Callithrix jacchus: one gene and its partner. The protein of the gene in region 1 purifies or fractionates together with the protein of each later gene. This does not show direct contact. Links are inferred from orthologs where the notes say so. Each region holds a gene or a part of one and is shown on either strand. Other genes may lie near its edges. The genes, in order: KDM5B and PAX9.

The links.
Region 2: the proteins of KDM5B (region 1) and PAX9 purify together in Homo sapiens (affinity purification with western blotting, with the first as the bait; 3 studies listed by BioGRID). This does not show direct contact. The link is inferred for Callithrix jacchus from reciprocal best matches to the Homo sapiens genes KDM5B and PAX9.

What each region holds. Positions count from the first base shown.
Region 1 is NC_133520.1:29,769,055-29,777,861, reverse strand, and holds part of KDM5B (lysine-specific demethylase 5B), read left to right. Parts: intron 1-3,974; coding exon 3,975-4,125; intron 4,126-4,278; coding exon 4,279-4,393; intron 4,394-4,822; coding exon 4,823-5,178; intron 5,179-5,736; coding exon 5,737-5,875; intron 5,876-8,547; coding exon 8,548-8,727; intron 8,728-8,807. UniProt on the Homo sapiens protein: Histone demethylase that demethylates 'Lys-4' of histone H3, thereby playing a central role in histone code. Does not demethylate histone H3 'Lys-9' or H3 'Lys-27'. Demethylates trimethylated, dimethylated and monomethylated H3 'Lys-4'.
Region 2 is NC_133509.1:71,286,956-71,296,491, forward strand, and holds the start of PAX9 (paired box protein Pax-9), read left to right. Parts: upstream 1-3,942; 5' UTR 3,943-4,435; coding exon 4,436-5,264; intron 5,265-8,158; coding exon 8,159-8,301; intron 8,302-9,536. UniProt on the Homo sapiens protein: Transcription factor required for normal development of thymus, parathyroid glands, ultimobranchial bodies, teeth, skeletal elements of skull and larynx as well as distal limbs.

The DNA of each region.
Region 1 (8,807 bases):
TTTTATTTTATTTATTTTATTTTTTTTAGTGGGACGGGAGAATCACAAGGAATCAGGTGTTCAGAGGAATGTATTGAGGAGAGGTGAGGAACTAGGATGTTGAAAAGTAAAAAAAGGAGAGAAGGAGAGGAAGAAAGAGGAAGAAAAAGAGGGAGGGAGAACAGGAATATTGCTTCATTCTAAAAATGGGTATTAATAATGGCCGATCAATATTTTGTCTATTTAAAATGGAGAACTCTATAAATATTTATTGAGTCTACTTGTTCCGGATCTGAGTTGAAGTCCTGGGTATCCTTATTAATTTTCTGTCTCGTTGAGTCTAAATCTCGTTATGGGTCTTATGTATCTGGGTATTAAGATCTCTTATTGTTGGATTGATCCTTTTACCACTATCTTTGTTGCTTTGAAATCTATTTTATCAAATGTGAGAATTGCAACTCCTGGTTTTTGTTTATTTATTTATTTTTGCTCTCCATTTGATTGGTAAATTTTTCTCCAACCCTTTGTTGTGAGTCTTTGTGTATCTTTGGATATACCATTAGGTTTTGGCTGTATCTTTTGATTGGGGGATATAGTCGATTTAAACTTAGGGTTACTGCCATTTGATGTTAACTGGCTATTTTATCCATTCGTTGATGTAAATTCTTCTTTATGTTGATGCTCTTTACTTTTTGGTATATTTTTAGAAAGGCTCATACTGGTTGTTCCTTTCTATGTATAATGCTTCTTTCAGAAGCTCTTGTAAAGCAGGCCTGGTGGTAATAAAATCTCTGAGTACTTGTTTGTTCATAAAAGATTTTATTTTTCCTTCAATTGTGAAGCTTAGTTTGGCAGGATTCTAGGCTGAAAGTTCTGTTCTTTAATTATGTTGAATATTGGCCCCCACTCTCTTCTGGCTTGTAGGGTTTCCGCTGAGAGATCTGCTGTAAGTCTAATAGGCTTCCCTTTATGGGTAACTTGGCCTTATTCTCTGGCTGCCCTTAGTATTTTCTCCTTCGTTTCGATCCTGGTGAATCTAACGATTATGTGCCTTGGGGTTGCTCTTCTTGAGGAATATCTTTGTGGTGTTCTCTGTATTTCCTGGGGTTGAATAGTGTCCTGCTTTGCTAGATTGGGAAAATTTTCCTGGATAATATCTTGGAAAGTATTTTCCAGCTTGGATTCATTCTCTCCATCACATTCAGGTACACCAATCAAAAGTAGATTTGGTCTTTTCACACAGTCCCATATTTCTTGGAGACTTTGCTCATTCCTTTTCATCCTTTTTTCTCTATTCTTTTCTTGTCGTTTTATTTCATTAAGTTGGTCTTCAACCTCTGATATCCTTTCTTCTGCTTGATCCATTTTCTTTTTTTTTTTTTGAGACGGAGTCTTACACTGTCACCCAGGCTGGAGTGCAATGGTGTGATCTCGGCTCACTGCAACCTCTGCCTCCCAGGTTCAAGCGATTCTCCTGCCTCAGCCTCCTGAGTAGCTGGGATTACAGGCACATGCCATTGTGCCCAGCTAATTTTTGTATTTTTAGTAGAGATGTGGTTTCAACATCTTGGCCAGGCTGGTCTTGAACTCCTGACCTTGTGATCCACCCACCTCAGCCTCCCAAAGTGCTGGGATTACAGGCGTGAGCCACCACACGTGGCCCACATTTTCTTTACCCAATCTATTGTTAATGGGTATTTAGGTTGATTCTATGTCTTTACTGTTGTGAATAGTGTTGCAGTGAACATACATTTGCATGTGTATTTATAATGGAATGATTTATATTCCTTTGGATACCCAAAGGAATATAATGGCATTGCTTGGTCTAATATACCTTGGTATATACCCAAAGGAATATAATGGCATTGCTCGGTCTAATGGTATTTTGGTCTTTAGGTCTTTGAAGAATAGCCACACTGTCTTCCACAATGGTTGAACTAATTTATACTTCTACCAACAGTGTATAAGCATTTGTTTTTCTCCACGACCTCACCAGTATCTGTTACTTTTTAATAATAGCCATTCTGGCCGGGCGCGGTGGCTCACACCTATAATCCCAGCACTTTGGGAGGCCGGGGCGGGTGGATCACGAGGTCAAGAGATCAAGACCATCCTGGTCAACAAGGCAAAATCCTGTCTCTACTAAAAATACAAAAATTAGCTGGGCATGATGGCGCGTGCCTGTAATCCCAGCTACTTGGGAGGCTAAGGCAGGAGAATTGCTTGAACCCAGAAGGCGGAGGTTGCGGTGAGCTGAGATTGTGCCATTGCACTCCAGTCTGGGTAACAACAGCAAAACTCCCATCACCAAAAAAAAAAAAAATAGCCATTCTGACTGGTGTGAGATGATAGCTCATTGTGGTTTTAATTTGCATTTCTCTAATGATCAGTGATGTTAGGCTTTTTTTCATATGACTGTTGGCCACATGTATGTCTCTTCTGGAAAAGCATTTTTTCTTTTCGCCTACTTTTTTAAAGGGGTTTTTTGCTTTTTTTCTTGTAAATTTAAGTTCTTTATAGATGCTGGATATTAGACCTTTGTCGGATGCATACTTGCAAATATTTTCTCCCATTCTGTAGGTTGTCTGTTCACTCTGATGATAGTTTATTTCACATTTCAGAAGCTCTTTAATTAGATCCCATTTGTCAGTTTTTGGTTTTGTTGCAGTTGCTTTTGGCATCTTCATGAAATCTTTGCCTGTGTCTGTGCCTATGTCCTGAATGATGTTGCCTAGGTTGCAATCCAGGGTTTTTATAGTTTGGGGTTTTACATTTAAGTCTTTAATCCCTCTTGAGTTAATTTTTGTATATGGTGTAAGGAAGTGGTCCTGTTTTAGTCCTCTGCATATGGCTAGCTGTTATTCCAGCACCATTTATTGAATAAGGAATCCTTTCTCCATTGCTTGTTTTCGTTAGATTTGTTGAAGCTCAGATAGTTGTAGGTTTGCATTTTTATTTTTGAGTTCTCTATTCTGTTCCATTGGTCTGTGTGTCTGGTTTTGTACCAGTCCATTTCTCTATTTTAACTTGCTTTCATTTCTGTAGCCCAACATATAACTCTACCCCCTTTTATTTAGGGGAGAGGAGCAATATCATTGTCTATGAGCCTAGTGTGCTCTGCTTAAGTGAGTACACTAATTACTCAGTAAGTGGAGAATAAAATGCAGGAGGAAAATGTGGTTCAAGCCACAGTAAGATTTATATTTGCTTTTCTTTCTTTCTTTCTTTTTAAGACAGGGTCTTGCTCTGTGACCTTGACAGGAGTTCAATGGCATGATCATGGCTGACTGCATCTTTGAACTCCTGGGTTTAAGTGATCCTCCTGTTTTAGGCTGTCCAATAGTTGGGACTACAGTTATGTGCCATCGCACCTGGCTGAGGTCTTTAATTTTGTAGAGATGAGATCTTGCTGTGCTGACCAGGTACATAGGCATGAGCCACTGTACCCAGCCTAAAACGTGTCAGATCTTAATGTTTCCATAATTAAGTTCAACTTTAGGCACTTGTTTAAAGAACTCCATGCTCAGCTGGCTTGGTGGCTCATGCCTGTAATCCCAGCACTTTGAGAGGCCGAGGCAGGTGGATTACGAGGTCAGGGGTTTGAGACCAGCCTGGCCAACACAGTGAAACCTTTCTCTACTAAAAATACAAAAAGAAAATTGGCTGGTGGCGGGCGCGTGTAGTCCCGGCTACTCGGGAGGCTGAGGCAGGAGAATTGTTTGAACCCGGGAGGTGGAGGTTGCAGTGAGCCGAGGTAGTGCCTGGGCAACAGAGCGAGGCTCCATCTCAAAAAAAAAAAAACCAAAATATCTCCATGCTCAGCCACAACCCCACAAAAATCAAATCAATAAATTTATTAATAATTTAAAACATTGCAAGAATTTGTAAGTTACATTTCTAGACCAGAACTCGCAAAAGCAGTCTCCTCTGAATTTCATACCAGTAGTAATAAACGTAATGATTACAGAAAAGATGACTTTTTTCTTCATTCCTAGGCCTTGTCAGCTTCAAGGCTTTAATTGAAGAATCTGAATTGAAGAAATTCCCAGACAATGATCTTTTGCGACACCTTCGCTTAGTCACACAGGATGCAGAGAAGTGTGCCTCTGTTGCACAGCAATTGCTTAATGGCAAAAGGCAAACTAGGTATGTGCTTCTGACTGCATGAGTTTGGATTCCTTGGCACCTATGTTTGGAAACCTGTTGTTGACTCCTTCTGTCTTGAATTTCTGTGACCACTTGGGTGTGGTGGACATACATATGTTCTTATACGGCTTCCTTGGGCCTTTGTCTTTATAGATACCGATCTGGTGGAGGGAAATCCCAAACTCAGTTGACAGTGAATGAGCTCCGGCAGTTTGTAACACAGTTGTATGCTCTTCCATGTGTCCTCAGTCAAACACCATTGCTAAAGGTAACCACAGAGGGATATGTGGGAAAATACTTGGGTAATCCTGTATTTTGTAAATAAATTAGATTGACAGTACTAAGTAATCTTCTTTGATGATTAATATGTACATTTATCTGCAGATGCTTTTAATAAGACATTGAGTGGTATGTGTGTAGAAAGAGATTATAGTAGGCCCACAGAGGGGAAAAAAGTTGGAAATTTTTACTTTGAAAGTGACCTCAGCTAGTTGAAGTTGGGATAAGCTCTCCGTTATAGTCACTTAGTGTTTGCTGTCAGTTGGCTTATGTATTATCTTATTACCTATGTTATTACTAGAATAGAATTAAAGGAATGGTAAAGGATCTCATTGAATATGAATTTAAGATTCTAAGTTTTAAAGAAGCCAATTACTGAAATTACTGTTTTGATGCAACAACCTGTGTATTTTTTTAGGATCTCTTGAATCGTGTAGAAGATTTTCAACAGCATAGTCAGAAACTACTCTCTGAGGAAATGCCTAGTGCTGCGGAGCTGCAGGACTTGCTAGATGTCAGCTTTGAATTTGATGTTGAACTTCCACAGCTTGCTGAGATGCGTATCCGTCTGGAACAGGCCCGTTGGCTGGAAGAGGTGCAGCAAGCTTGCCTTGACCCCAGCTCCCTTACTTTAGATGATATGAGACGTCTCATAGACCTAGGGGTAGGGCTGGCCCCATATTCAGCAGTGGAGAAGGCTATGGCCCGGCTGCAGGAATTGCTCACAGTGTCAGAGCACTGGGATGACAAAGCCAAGGGTCTCCTCAAGGCCAGGTAAAAAAGCAAACATTTCTCTTTCTTTGGGAAGGTTGGACAGTTATCTCCATCTTAAGCATAGAGCATAGTGATTGGTATGTGGCAAGTGCTCGGTAGCTGTAGTTACTATGCATGTGGAAGATACGTAGAAATAGCTGAGATACCTGGAGCTGCTTTGGGGCCTGAATAAAATAATGTTAATTTTTTTTAATTTTACTGATTATAAAATGAATAATTCAATTGGACACACCTTCTCTAGAGTTGGTTTAATGAAATTTCCCTGGATCCTGTTAATATCCTGTCTTTGGGAGAGGAAAATATTTATAAATGGGTGAAGCTGTTTAAACTCAGTTAGCATATATGTTTCCAAGGAGTCTTACAGAGAAATGTCTGAGAGTTAATAGGGACTGTTCTGTAAGAAAACAGTGCAGATAATTTTCAACAAGAGCAGACAATGCCATTTGAAAAAATTTATTTGCCATACTGAATTTTCTTTGACATGCTATCTTTTTGGCAATCATAAGAAAAATGAACCATCATATAAAATGCTTAGTAGTCTGTGTTTGCATTTTGTAGGCCACGGCATTCATTGAATAGCCTTACTACAGCAGTAAAGGAGATTGAGGAGATCCCCGCATATCTGCCCAATGGTGCAGCTCTGAAAGACTCAGTGCAGAGAGCCAGAGACTGGCTTCAGGATGTAGAGGCCCTGCAGGTTGGTTTAAAAAAGTATATATGAATGTGTAAGTGCATCCATAAAGAGCAATATTGGAAAGTTGTTAAGAATAATGTGTTGGATTTCACTGCACAGATTCAATATTTTAGGGGTTGACCAGAAGACTAATTCTATTCATACTTATTTGGATGTATTTACCAGCTATTATCCTGACCAGTTGTCTCAAATATTTAAAGCTTAGGTAATGTAACCAACTTTTTCTGGGATCTGGGGAGTCTTTTATAACAAACTTGAGTACTTGACTGCAGATTGAGGCCAAAGAGCTAACAATGAAAAGTAGTGAGAGAAAGAGTCATTTTCTGCTTTTTGATGAGTATTATTACCTCTTATTGGCTTGTCCACAGCTTTGGAGTTCAAACAATCAGTAATAGCAGATTCAGTGAATCTAGTTATATGATTAAATGCCCAAACTAAACCCCAAGGCCCAGAATTTTCATGAAGTAGTGACTTATATGTACCCTCCCAACCCTACAAAAGAAATAAAACCTACCCTGTTCCAAAGTAATTATCCAAAGTATCCAAAGTCATTTCCACCAAGTATTTATGGTCTTATTATGGTAGATGTTACACTTATTAGCTTGTATGTAAGTTTTTTAAAAAATTAAATTAACTTATACCATTGTTGAGGTACAAAAATAATGCATTCTGTAATATGATTTTCCCAGCGTTCAGATGACTGGCTGAATGACTTAATTTGAAAAGTGTTTGATGGAGAATGTCTCCTTTATCTTTCTTGTCATCATAAACCAATAGGTCTTACTGACCTGTTGGGGAAAAAAAAAAGTCTCAAGTTCTGTTTTGTTGAAGCCTTCAGATTTTAGGAATAAAATACTGTCTTTCTTTCTGAATATTTGTGTAATTTTATGTGGTGCTAATTGGCTAGTCACTAACAAGAAGTACCAAACAGGACAATTCTAGACAAATGTTTGCAAGAAAACATCTGGGCATCTGTTCTTGTTAATAGGGAAAAGAAGATACGTTGTTTAAGGAGATTGCATAATTAAGGACTTAATCCAGCAAGCCAAAGAAAAAAACCAAGAAAGTATTAACTATGGACATAAACTTCCTTAATGAGAGTTTAGATGCAGGTGCTTGTCAATGATAGTTGGTACTGTAGTAATTAGTTTTAGTCATGGTCCTCCTTTTTACTCCATGACTGGTAGCAGCCAGAAGGTGCAGTCATGGCAATAAGGAGAGGCTGGCATGTAAAATCAGAAGGCAAGGGCATGCTTCTGTTGTGTTTATTTCCTTCATATTTTATATGTATATGCTACTTACTATGCTTGCAACAGTGCCATTAAGGGCAAAAGGCAAGTTTTGCTTCATTCCTGAAAAAGTAGCTTACATTTTTTTGCATACTATATTTAAGGACTAATAGACATAACAACAAGGAACTACTTCATATTTAGTGGATTATTTATTTTTAAATGTTATACGGTATTCTGTTTTACACATAGAAGTACTCTGATATCTAAATTAAATATAGGAATAGCATGTAATTTATGAGTCACATTCTTAAGTGTCAGTCGGAACATTTATGCCCTAACAGTTTTAATCCTGTAAGAATAAATATCAAAGGCAGTGAAATAGCAATCTACCCTATCTTCCCTAGTTGTCCCAAAAATGTCCCTTATGGCTGTTTGTCTAACCCAGGAACACACGTTGCACCTAATTGGCATCGCGTTACGTTTCTTTAATCTTGCAGTGTTTTCCTCCCCACCGCAGTTTTTCTCATGTAACTGACAGTTATCCTATGGTATGCTCTACTTTCTGGATTTGTCTGGTTGTTTCTTTGAGGAGTGTTCTATTCTCCGTATTTCCTATAAATTGGAAGTTAGTTTTAAAGCCCTGATGTAACCAAGTTAAACATTTTTTAATAGAATGAATTAAAATGTCAGGTAATATTGTATATTCTGTATTGTATCACAACAGGAGACATATTTGGATGGCCTACCATTAGTGATGCTAAGTTTTACATTGTACTGGAGTAACACCAATCCATTTCATCCTCTGTAATCTAATGCTTTTATTCTCCTTCTAGTTTGGCTATCTCTTTCTCAAAATATAGTTCCCAGACCAGCAGTATTAGCATTGGCAATAGCAGCTTCACCTGGGAACTTGTTAGAAGTGCACATTTATGGATCTTCCTCTAACCTACTGAATTAGAATATTTGGGGATGGGACTAAGGAAACTGTTTAAATAAGCCTTCCAGATGATTCTTATGCATGCTAAAGTTTGAGAACCACTGGGCTATCTCAACTAATATTTTAGTTTCCTGAATAATTTATGTTGAGTTGCTTTAATTCATCACTGGTGAGTGGATTGGAGTAAAATATTGTTTTGCTTTTTATTTGTGTAATTCAGTGTGAAAGTCTTGAGTTAGTACAAACCTTCGTTTCTGTTGAACTCCATCTTAAAAAAGAAGAAAAACCACCACCACCAAAAAAACTCAAACTAGGTTCTCTGAAGTATTTGTGTAATAAAGGAACAAATGTCACTTCTACCCCCAACATCATTGGTTAGTTGGCAGTTTATTTAATCACGATTTGTGAATTTAGCATGCTAAGATCATGAACCAATCTGAATTATGCTTTTTCTATTTTTCATAGAGGTATTCTTTTTTCCAAACTGCTATAATTTTTCTTATTAGGCTGGAGGACGTGTGCCAGTGTTAGACACACTCATAGATCTTGTTACACGAGGCCGATCTATCCCGGTACATCTGAATTCTTTGCCAAGACTGGAATCCCTAGTAGCTGAGGTTCAGGCATGGAAAGAATGTGCTGTTAATACATTCTTGACTGAGAATTCTCCATATTCTCTCTTAGAGGTAAGTTTATAACCAGCTCATCTGCAAGACCTTAGATCTCCTAGTTTGGTAAAACATGCAATTCATCACGTACAAAGACG
Region 2 (9,536 bases), on another chromosome or scaffold:
GCGCCGCGCGCAATGCCCCAACTCACCGTGAAAGGGCTTGACTTTACTGCATGTTCCCCAGGCAGAAGTCAATGCACTGTGAAAATCCCAGTCCCGGACTCGGACTCTGGCTGTCTTGCAATCCCCGCAACTCCTCTGAGTGGAAAAGAGGTGGGCACCATCGCCTGGGCCTCGCCTGGGGGTCCTGTCCCTAGCAGGGTGCAAGTTGGAGGAATCAGCTCCTTAATATTTTCTGCTAGCTCCGCTAGTCATTCATTACTGCAACTCGGAATAGAACAGCCTCTCTCCAGGACACACACACACACCTCACTCTCGCCCTATCCTCCCGTCCGCAGTCATCACAGACCTGTAGACCCGGAGGAGCAGCCTTCCCGCGGAGCAGCTTAGCCGGCGTCGGTCTGGGTTGGGGATTCAGGGAGGGGTCCTCGCGTTCCGCACAACCTGCAGTGCTTGGGTCTGACTTCAGCAGCCCTCGGGTACAGTCTACCGGGCTAGATTCCTGTTGCTTCTCCGCGTCTCTCCGCCAGCCGCTCTAGTGCCTGGAAGGGGGCGCAGCAGGTGACTGCCCGCGGCACTGGGAGGGCTGACAGATTTATGGAGACTTCACAGCATCTGGCTGGGGTCCTCGAGGGCAGGGCGGAGTCCAGCCGAGCCGGTGGTAGGGATTAAAACTTCCCCAGCCGCACGCCTAGGCCGAGCCGCCCCCGGAGTCCCCGGCTACTGCTCCCCTCGGGCGGGTGTACACCGGGATCCGGCCCGCACCGAGTGTACAGATCCCTCCAACCCTGTGTAGCCCCCCTCCTTCACACTCTAGGCCCGGCTGGCTTCCAGTCTCCCACTGAGTAAATATTTACCCAGAGAGCCGGTCGCCCCTCGGAGGAGGCCTCGACGAGACTAGGGAAAGGCTTTTTGGCTTCTCCCCGGCCTGAGCCAGCTGCAGGCCTTACTGGTTGTGTTTTGGTTTTGGTCTTAAATTTCTCCTTTTAGTTGAAATTCTTCTAATCTCTTTGTGATCTCCTGGGTCCAGACTGGCCAGTACCCAGGGGGCAGTGACTCCAGCTGACTCTTGTTTTTTCTCTAAGTCCTACGTCCTTACGCCCATTGGAACTGACTATACCTGAATGTTCTTTCTCTTCCTTCCTCTATCCCTCTTTCTCTCCCTCAGATCCGTCGTCTCTCGGTGGAGCTCAGTGCCTGCCTCGCCCCAGCACTCTGTCCGCGCCTGGGAAGGCTTCAGCGTCACCCTCTTCTGCTGGGGTCTCACTGACAGCGTCTGCCGCTGCAGCTTTGTCTTCTCTTGCTCCCAGAGCGGGGTCCTCTGCTTGCGGTGGATACTTAGTGGCCCAAAGCACCTAAAATGGGTTCTTTCTGCGCTCTTGACAATGTTAAGAGCACCCAGTACCTGCAACCGACGGTATGAGTGGGGTCTGCGGGGAGCGGCCGGCGCCGCGGATCAGGCCCCCTGCCCACTGAGATGCTACCCCTGATGCGCCCAGGGAGTCCGCAGCATCTAAGGCCACATGGTCACAGCCAAGTCCAGAAGATGGAAAGGGAGAGATGGCATTGAATCTGTGTGAGAACTGGGGAGATGTGTGGCAGACAAAGGAGTTGGTGGGAACAAGAGGGGGTTGTATGTTACCTCCAAATGGCCAGAGCTCTAAACAGTAACCTTTTACCCTAGGCTGGTGCTGTAGAACTGCTAAAGCTTTCGAAGAGTCCCCAGACACCCCGCGGGGCATTAGGTTTTGCATGTTGGTAGGCGAATATCCTCGTATCCGCCTAGCAGCCCTGCCGACTGCGAATTCTCCCTGGGTGCACGGAGGTAGATCACATTCTGCGCAGAGGACGACACTCACTGCTTGTCTGTGAGGAGGAAGGAGGATTCCTGATCAAGTTGCTGGGCATGTTCATTCCCTCCTGAAGCCTAAGGCAAAGTCGTAAACTCCCCTCCGATGCGTCAAAAACTCAATTAATGTATCAGCCTTAAGAAGGCGCTTCTGCTTCTAAAATCTTTAGATTTCCGAAGGCTCTACTTATGTAAAAATGCCAGGCGGTGCCACACGGTGTCACTCAACAGATATTGGGGTCAGACTAGAGTGAAATTTCTATCAAATCAAACTTTAAGAAGATTTTAAACATTTGAAACCAACCAACAAAAAGGGACAAGTTCAAGTATGTCTAGTTGTGGGACTTTTTTCAAGATTACGATTGTAAAGAATGGTGTTTTAGTTCATCTGTATCTTTCACATCCTTCATTCTGTTAGGTAACCGAATTTAGAGTGCATCCTCACTATACAAGTGGGAATCTGGAGATCTGTTCCTTTGCAGAAGCATGGCTGATCACAGTTTTGTCCTGGGTTCTTGTAACTTACTGGCCCAAGATCTGGGACCAGCTTCCCTGGGTTTAACAGAGCCACACACATCCCTGGGGACTGTTGGGGAAGCAGCCTGAATCCTGCGTGGACAAAGAGCCTTGTGGATTGTCAAGTAGCAGTAGCATAGTTCACGACCCCAAGCAGTAAAAACTCCCAAATTCACGAAAATATTTTCTTCTTGTTTATTATTTTTATTCACATTCTCCACAACCCTAACTGCAAATATCAATAACTTTGGCTGCCAACAAGCATACAGCAAACTTTAGATTAGACTTAGCATGAACAAAAGTGAAAATTCAGAAGTAGGCAGAACCAAAGGACCTCTGGGAGCTTAATAGAAGAGGGAATTACATCCATGTGCAGCATCAGTGTCCACTTTCTTGAGACTAGATCTCTTTTATATACAAACAAAACTCTCTAGAAATCGGTTTGGAGAACCCTCACAAACCCTGGCACCAAGGCCCAGCGGCCCAGGACAGTGGCTGAATGTGGCAGAGCCTTGGACTCCGTAGTGAGTGCCCCAGGCACTGGCAATCAATGGACTTGGGGCAGTGCCCTCGCGTTAGCCTCCTGTGGTTCAGTTCCCGGCACACGGCGTGGCCCCTACCTTGAGCCTGCGTGGCTAGTGGTTGGCCAGTCCACCTGGGGGGTGGGGGGCTGCCGCGGGAAGCTGGCGGTAGGAGGAGCCTCCCTGGCCTTAACAGTGGCCCTCACCTGTGGCTCGGGCTCCCCGTAACCTCCTGGTTTCTCTGGCGGGCCTACCTTCTCACACCTGCGCTCTCTCCACCTGGCATGGATTGAAGTTAGGTAGAATCGGCAGGTGACACAGATTCTCTCCGGTGGCCCTCTCGACAGATTTTGCTAAGACAACTCCCCACCCCCGTGCACCGTGGCGCCCGCCTCCCACTTAGGGTTTTAACTTCAATTCTGAGACGTCCATCGTTCCCCTGAGGAGGTCTCCTCGGGTCCCTTCTCCCTTCGAATCATTCATACTCAGATAAGACTCTTTCATTTGTTTATTCAGCATTTTACCAGCCTGATTTTGCTGTCTTTTTGTGTCGCTTCTGGGAAGATGTCAAACACCCATTTTCGTGGTATTTAGTCACCCAGGTGGGGGGCCAGCCTGAAAGAGATAGCGGAAGGAGTTTCCTGGACTGCCCTGCCGCTCACCGGCCCGTACCAATCACCACGCAGCTCGCCCTCAGGCCCGCCTCTTTGAGGGCGTGTCCCCAGTGAGTGATAGACGGAGCCGCCCGGCCCTGCTCAGCCCAGCCCACGTTGCAGCTTAGATTGAAATGCAGAACTCAAGCCTCTTTCACCGGGGCACAGACTTCCTTTTACTTCTTCCTTTTGCACTCTCGCCTCCACCTCCTGGGAAGAAGCGGAGGCGCCGGCGGCTCGGGGTAGCAACAGGCCGGGCCATTGCGGCCCTGCGGAAAGTTTCTGTCTGGTTGTGCGGAACTGGGGCCGGGTTGGTGTACTGCTCGGAGCAATGGGTGAGTGGCGGTGGAAGACTCTGTCGGAGCCGCGAAGGGAGGGAGCGAGCGAGAGAGGGAGGGAGGGAGGGAGCGAGAGGGCGCGCGCCACTAAGCGCTCACATTTTCTATTGACTTTGCTCGTGTTCCTACAAGTTGTAGGAACACGCTAAGGGTCAGCGGCGCACAGGAGTTCAATGTGAACGCTGGCTACTGGCTGGCTATTGATGCCATTTTCTGATTTTAAGAGAAGGGAACTATGGCATCAGCAAGCCCCGCAGCCCCCGTAGCAAACCAAGTTTTGCTTCACACGCGCGCATACACACAAACAAAACAGGAGGGAAAAAAAAGCACCTCTAGCTTCTCCTAGACTTTGTTTAACTGCCCGGGTCTCCAGGAGGAACGCTGGGGATGGGATGAGTAAAGAGGGAGTGGCCCAAGAAATTTAGTGAGGAGCAGGCTACAAGCAGCGCGTTTAGGCATCAAGACCGATTTCCCGTCCTGCTTCGGAGGACTTTTGAACGCTTGGAGAGGCCCTGAGTCTCACCACTTTACTTGGCTGTAGGGGCCTCTGGCACCGCAGGAATGAGGGAGGGGGTCCGATTGGACCGTGACAGTTGGGCCCGTTCGGCTTTGTTCAGGAATCGTTTGGCTTGGGGACAGCCCCTGTCGTTAGTACAGGACGGGTGCGTTCGCCCAGTCCCCGGACGCGCAGGGAGGCCCAGTGGCAGGCGGCTGTCCCAAGCAGCGTGTGCGCGTCTCCGCGCGCTGTGTGTTCGTTTTTTAGAGCCAGCTTTCGGGGAGGTGAACCAGCTGGGTGGAGTGTTCGTGAACGGGAGGCCGCTGCCCAACGCCATCCGGCTTCGCATCGTGGAACTGGCCCAACTGGGCATCCGACCCTGTGACATCAGCCGCCAGCTACGGGTCTCACACGGCTGTGTCAGCAAGATCCTGGCGCGCTACAACGAAACAGGCTCGATCTTGCCAGGAGCCATCGGGGGCAGCAAGCCCCGGGTCACTACCCCCACCGTGGTGAAGCACATCCGGACCTACAAGCAGAGGGACCCTGGCATCTTCGCCTGGGAGATCCGGGACCGCCTGCTGGCGGACGGTGTGTGCGACAAGTACAACGTGCCCTCGGTGAGCTCCATCAGCCGCATTCTGCGCAACAAGATCGGCAACTTGGCCCAGCAGGGTCATTACGACTCGTACAAGCAGCACCAGCCGGCACCGCAGCCAGCGCTGCCCTACAACCACATCTACTCATACCCCAGTCCTATCACGGCGGCGGCTGCCAAGGTGCCCACACCACCCGGGGTGCCTGCCATTCCCGGTTCGGTGGCCATGCCGCGCACCTGGCCTTCCTCGCACTCCGTCACTGACATCCTGGGCATCCGCTCCATCACCGACCAAGGTAGGGGCTCAGAGACAGGGCGTGTGGATGTGCAGCATCTGCCTCCGCATTCCCGCGGAGGTCCCACTATCTGCGGCCTCTGGGACCCTGTCTTTCCTATCACCTGAGGCTTTTTCCTTTGGAAACGTAAGGAGTCTTCCTAGGGGGTGTCCTGATCTCATTAACTTGAAACGCTTGCCCCTGGTTTCCTTGCCACACACAGTCTCCTGCCTCATCTCAAACTACCAGACCCATAACATCCCCCCATCCCCAACACATGGTTCGCATTTTCCACCCTCCCCCGCCTCTCGAGCCGAGGCGGCCTCAGCCCGGCTTGCTCACTTGAAGAGAGCGTCCGGGCCGGACTTGGGGGGCAGCCCGGGAGGCCTGAGCCTGCTTGGGGCTGCCGGCTGCAGATGCCGCTGCAGGCAGAGTAGCTTGCTTGGGGATCACAGACGCCCGGGAGGAGTCCAGCACGCGGTGGAAATTGAAGTATTCTCCCATTTTGGCAATCAGGCCAAATTTGCTCCGGCAGGAAGTTCAAATGTCAACTAATTGGTTTCGTTCTTATGCTTCACTTCATTTTCCTCGGAAATGGAGGTCCCGAAGTTACTACTACTAACTCATTCCCAGACGAGGTCATATTCTCTCTCTCTCTCTCTCTCCCTCTACCTCTCCCCCTTAACAGACTTCACCGTGTGTATCTTAGGAGGGGAAGTGGCATCTGCAGTGATGGAAATAAAATGCAGGCGATTCCATGCCGTTCTTTTTACTGTTCTTTTCCGTTTACCCTGAGCTTTCCGCTTTCCTTTGGGGTTCTCGGGTCCCCAAGAATGCAAGTGGGTATCTATCTAGTTTCTGCACATTTTCAGCAGTGCCACCCCACTGTTCTTTCCTTTCTCACCCCTGACCTTGCCTAGTCCTAAGCGTCCTTTCTGCCTAGTCAGGATTCCCCGAGCCCTCCTGCCCAGTCCGGCTTCAGCAGGAGACCTGAGTTTGTTTTCTTTTACTGAGTTGTTTTTTTTTTTTTTTTGGCGTTAACTTCTTGGTAGGGAGAAAATAAAGTCTAACTGTCCTATATGCAGAATTTAAATAATGTGTAGATAGTCCACTTTCTTAACATATCAGCCTAAAGTTTTAAAAATGTAGGGGGAAAATTAAATAGGAAAGAGGAAAATAGTTCTTTTAATTACTTCCTGCCTTTCTTGGTTGCCACCACATTGGCACAATTATCTTTTTAAGTAATTAAAGTAGAGCTCTGATTTCTCATCTTCTTGTTTTCTGACTGCAAGTTTACAAGAGCCCAGTTTTGTCTTATTTGGAGCTACTTGGAGCCGTAGTTGGAGAGTTTGCCCTTGATTTATAGGATAAACTGACCTCACTGACATTTAAAGGAAGCCCCTGTTCATGGGAAAGTGTGAGATCAGCAGAAATGGGGGCTCACAGGGGGATCTCAATTTCTTAAGATAACTTCAGGCTTGTGCCCACTGACTGCCTTTTGTCTGGGAAGGCAAAAACAGACAGGCAGTTTTGAACCAAAACACAGTTTCCTGGTGCAAATGGGACTCAATCTAATTCTTGAGGGTGGTAGAGGAGGAGACATAGTGGAAAAAAAAAGGCTGACAGTTGAAAAGAAAACTTTTCCTGCCTAGGGATTCTCCCATCAGAGCGAATGTCAGCTGGGAAAGTACTGGAGAATGGAAAGGAGCAACTCTTCCTTATAGACATTGTTGTGATTTTCGATGCCAGCTTTAAACAACCCAGATTCTGACAAATTTGTGACTATAAAATGATGATTTCTACAAAAATGATCACTCTCTTAAAGCACTTGTCAGATGGAAGTGTTTAAAATCAAGTTACAATGGCTTTGTCAAACTTCCATCCTCCACCCATAGGACCCAAAGACAAAAATACATTGTTTGTAGCCTTCACCAATCTCTTTGAAACTAACTATACCTGGTCACTGAAAAATGGCAATGATTCAATATGCACAACTCCAAGTATCATAGTAATTACACCATACAATTTTCTTTGCATCTCCAACAAGAACAGAAAGAATAACTGATGACATTACACCTTAACACTTAATTCTACTTTCATTTTCTTAACCGATTTCATTTTCTCTTTCTTGTATATATATATATACAAATATATATATATATATATATATATATATATATTTAAAACTCTTTTAGGATAACCCTGCCACTGACACCCATGACATGTAGAGTGGTAATTGCAAGATTTAAGTCATATGCACTTATCACATATGTAATGTGTAGAGGTAGAGTATCAAGGGGAGCCCTATGCACATACAAAGCAGAAATCTGTGAACATATCTTTTGCACTGAATTGTGGGAATCATTTAGTTGTTTGCAAAGGACTTTGCAGGTCATTTTGTTCTTTATTGACAAAAGTGCCAGATCCCCACAGTGCAGTGAGCACCAGTGCAGGCACCCTTAGGTCCGGCGCCTTTCTTTTTAGCCAGCCCCAGTCCCAAAACGTTGTCAACCCCCAGTCGGCCTTGGGTTATTAAGACTGAGGAGGTAGAGAACCCGCGGGCGCGTGCAGCCTTAAGAGTTCCTTCCTGATTTGGGTTTCTTCCACTCCTTTGCCCTGGGAGAGCGGAGGAGTGGAGGGAAAGCAAAGACCGGTTGAAAAAGAAAAAAATATCTTCCCTCAGACGTCAGATAACTCGGAAAGGCCTGCATTCAGGCGAGTAAAGCTTCACCAGGCCCTGGGCTGGAAGCACCGGACGGAGGTCGCGGCTGGGCCCAGCGCCCTCGGGAGACCGAGGGCAGGGGGCCGACCCAAGGTCTGAGCCCTCGAGCTCTCTCGTCGCTTACTTGGGTCCCGTCTCATGAGTGGGGCGTGCGGGCTGGGCCTCCGGCCTGACACCTTCTCTTCCTCTCCAGCAGTGAGCGACAGCTCCCCCTACCACAGCCCCAAGGTGGAGGAGTGGAGCAGCCTGGGCCGCAACAACTTCCCCGCCGCCGCCCCGCACGCGGTGAACGGGCTGGAGAAGGGAGCCCTGGAGCAGGAAACCAAGTACAGTCAGGTGAGGAGGCGAGGTCCCGGCCAGGTGGACCGCGTGGCGCCGGGGATTTAGGCGATAAGAAGACTCGGGTCCGTTTCTGAGCCTCCCGGGAGAAAAACCCAGGCCCGCGCCCATTTGCTGCTACCAGCCAGATCCTCTGTGCTTTGGGGTGAAACAGAGGCCCGGGCCTTCGAAGGCGGAGCTTGGGCCTCAACCCCCCGCCAGGGGCCGGGAGCGCTCGCCAGGGCGCGGGGATCTGGGGCGGCCGCTCCCCGGGGCGCGGCTCTGGGAAGCGCCTCCAGGCCTTTCGGTCTCTGGAGGCTTGGGGAGGCGGCTCCCGAAGCCTTTCAGCGACTCATATTGGGGGTAGAGTTAGCCAAAGAAGACCCTTCCGAAGGGCCGGGTCGAGCAACCCTGGGGCTTCGGAGCCGCCTCCACGCCCGCGAAATGCCCGCCCCGGGTCTCGGTCCTGCGGTGGGACGGCGGCTGTGGGGGTCCTCGCGCTCGGACTTTTGCCCCCGTGGCTCTCGGACAAACCCGCGTGGTTCCTCCTGCGAAGAGGGGCACCCAGATAAACGTAACAAAGCTACCATTTTCTCGACTAAAGGTCACATCGTAATCTCCCAAAGAAGTTAGTGAGAAAACCTCAAATTATACGGACTGGCTGTGGACCGTTTAATTTTTCTTTCCCTCCGTCCCTCCCTCAAGTCTCCAAAGGAAAATTTAAAACACCGGTGTTTTCTTTTCCCCCAGAGAAAAGCTAAGCAACCACCACAACAAAAGCTCCAGATTTAAGTCTAAATTCATCACCGCCGTGGAGTCAAGAGTTCAAAACTCTCAAAAACCTGATCTTAAGGCAGTGTAAGATTTCCCCAGCAGACCTCAGTAGGTTTGCAAATTTCTTAATCCAAAATTCTAATTCCAAAGCCTCAAGCTATTCAGTTTTCGTTTTATTATTTTGAAGTCTTAAAATTTTTAAAGTTTTCTTATCTGTCAAAATTAGCCTTTAAAAATTAAGTGGAACGTGTCCCTCTTATTCACATGGCAAAAAATCCTAGTCGTTGTTTTCTGTAACAAATCCCATTTCCACGTCCTCTTCCTTCTCTTATTCGTTGAAGCTGAATCAGAATACATGTCAGTGGCTCTCCAATAGCAAATAGCACAGAAAATGGCAGCAAGGAAAGAGAGCCCTTTTTCTTAGTCTGCTTCTACTGTAAAGAATGCCAATGGAAAATGATAAGGAAGTTTGTCATTTT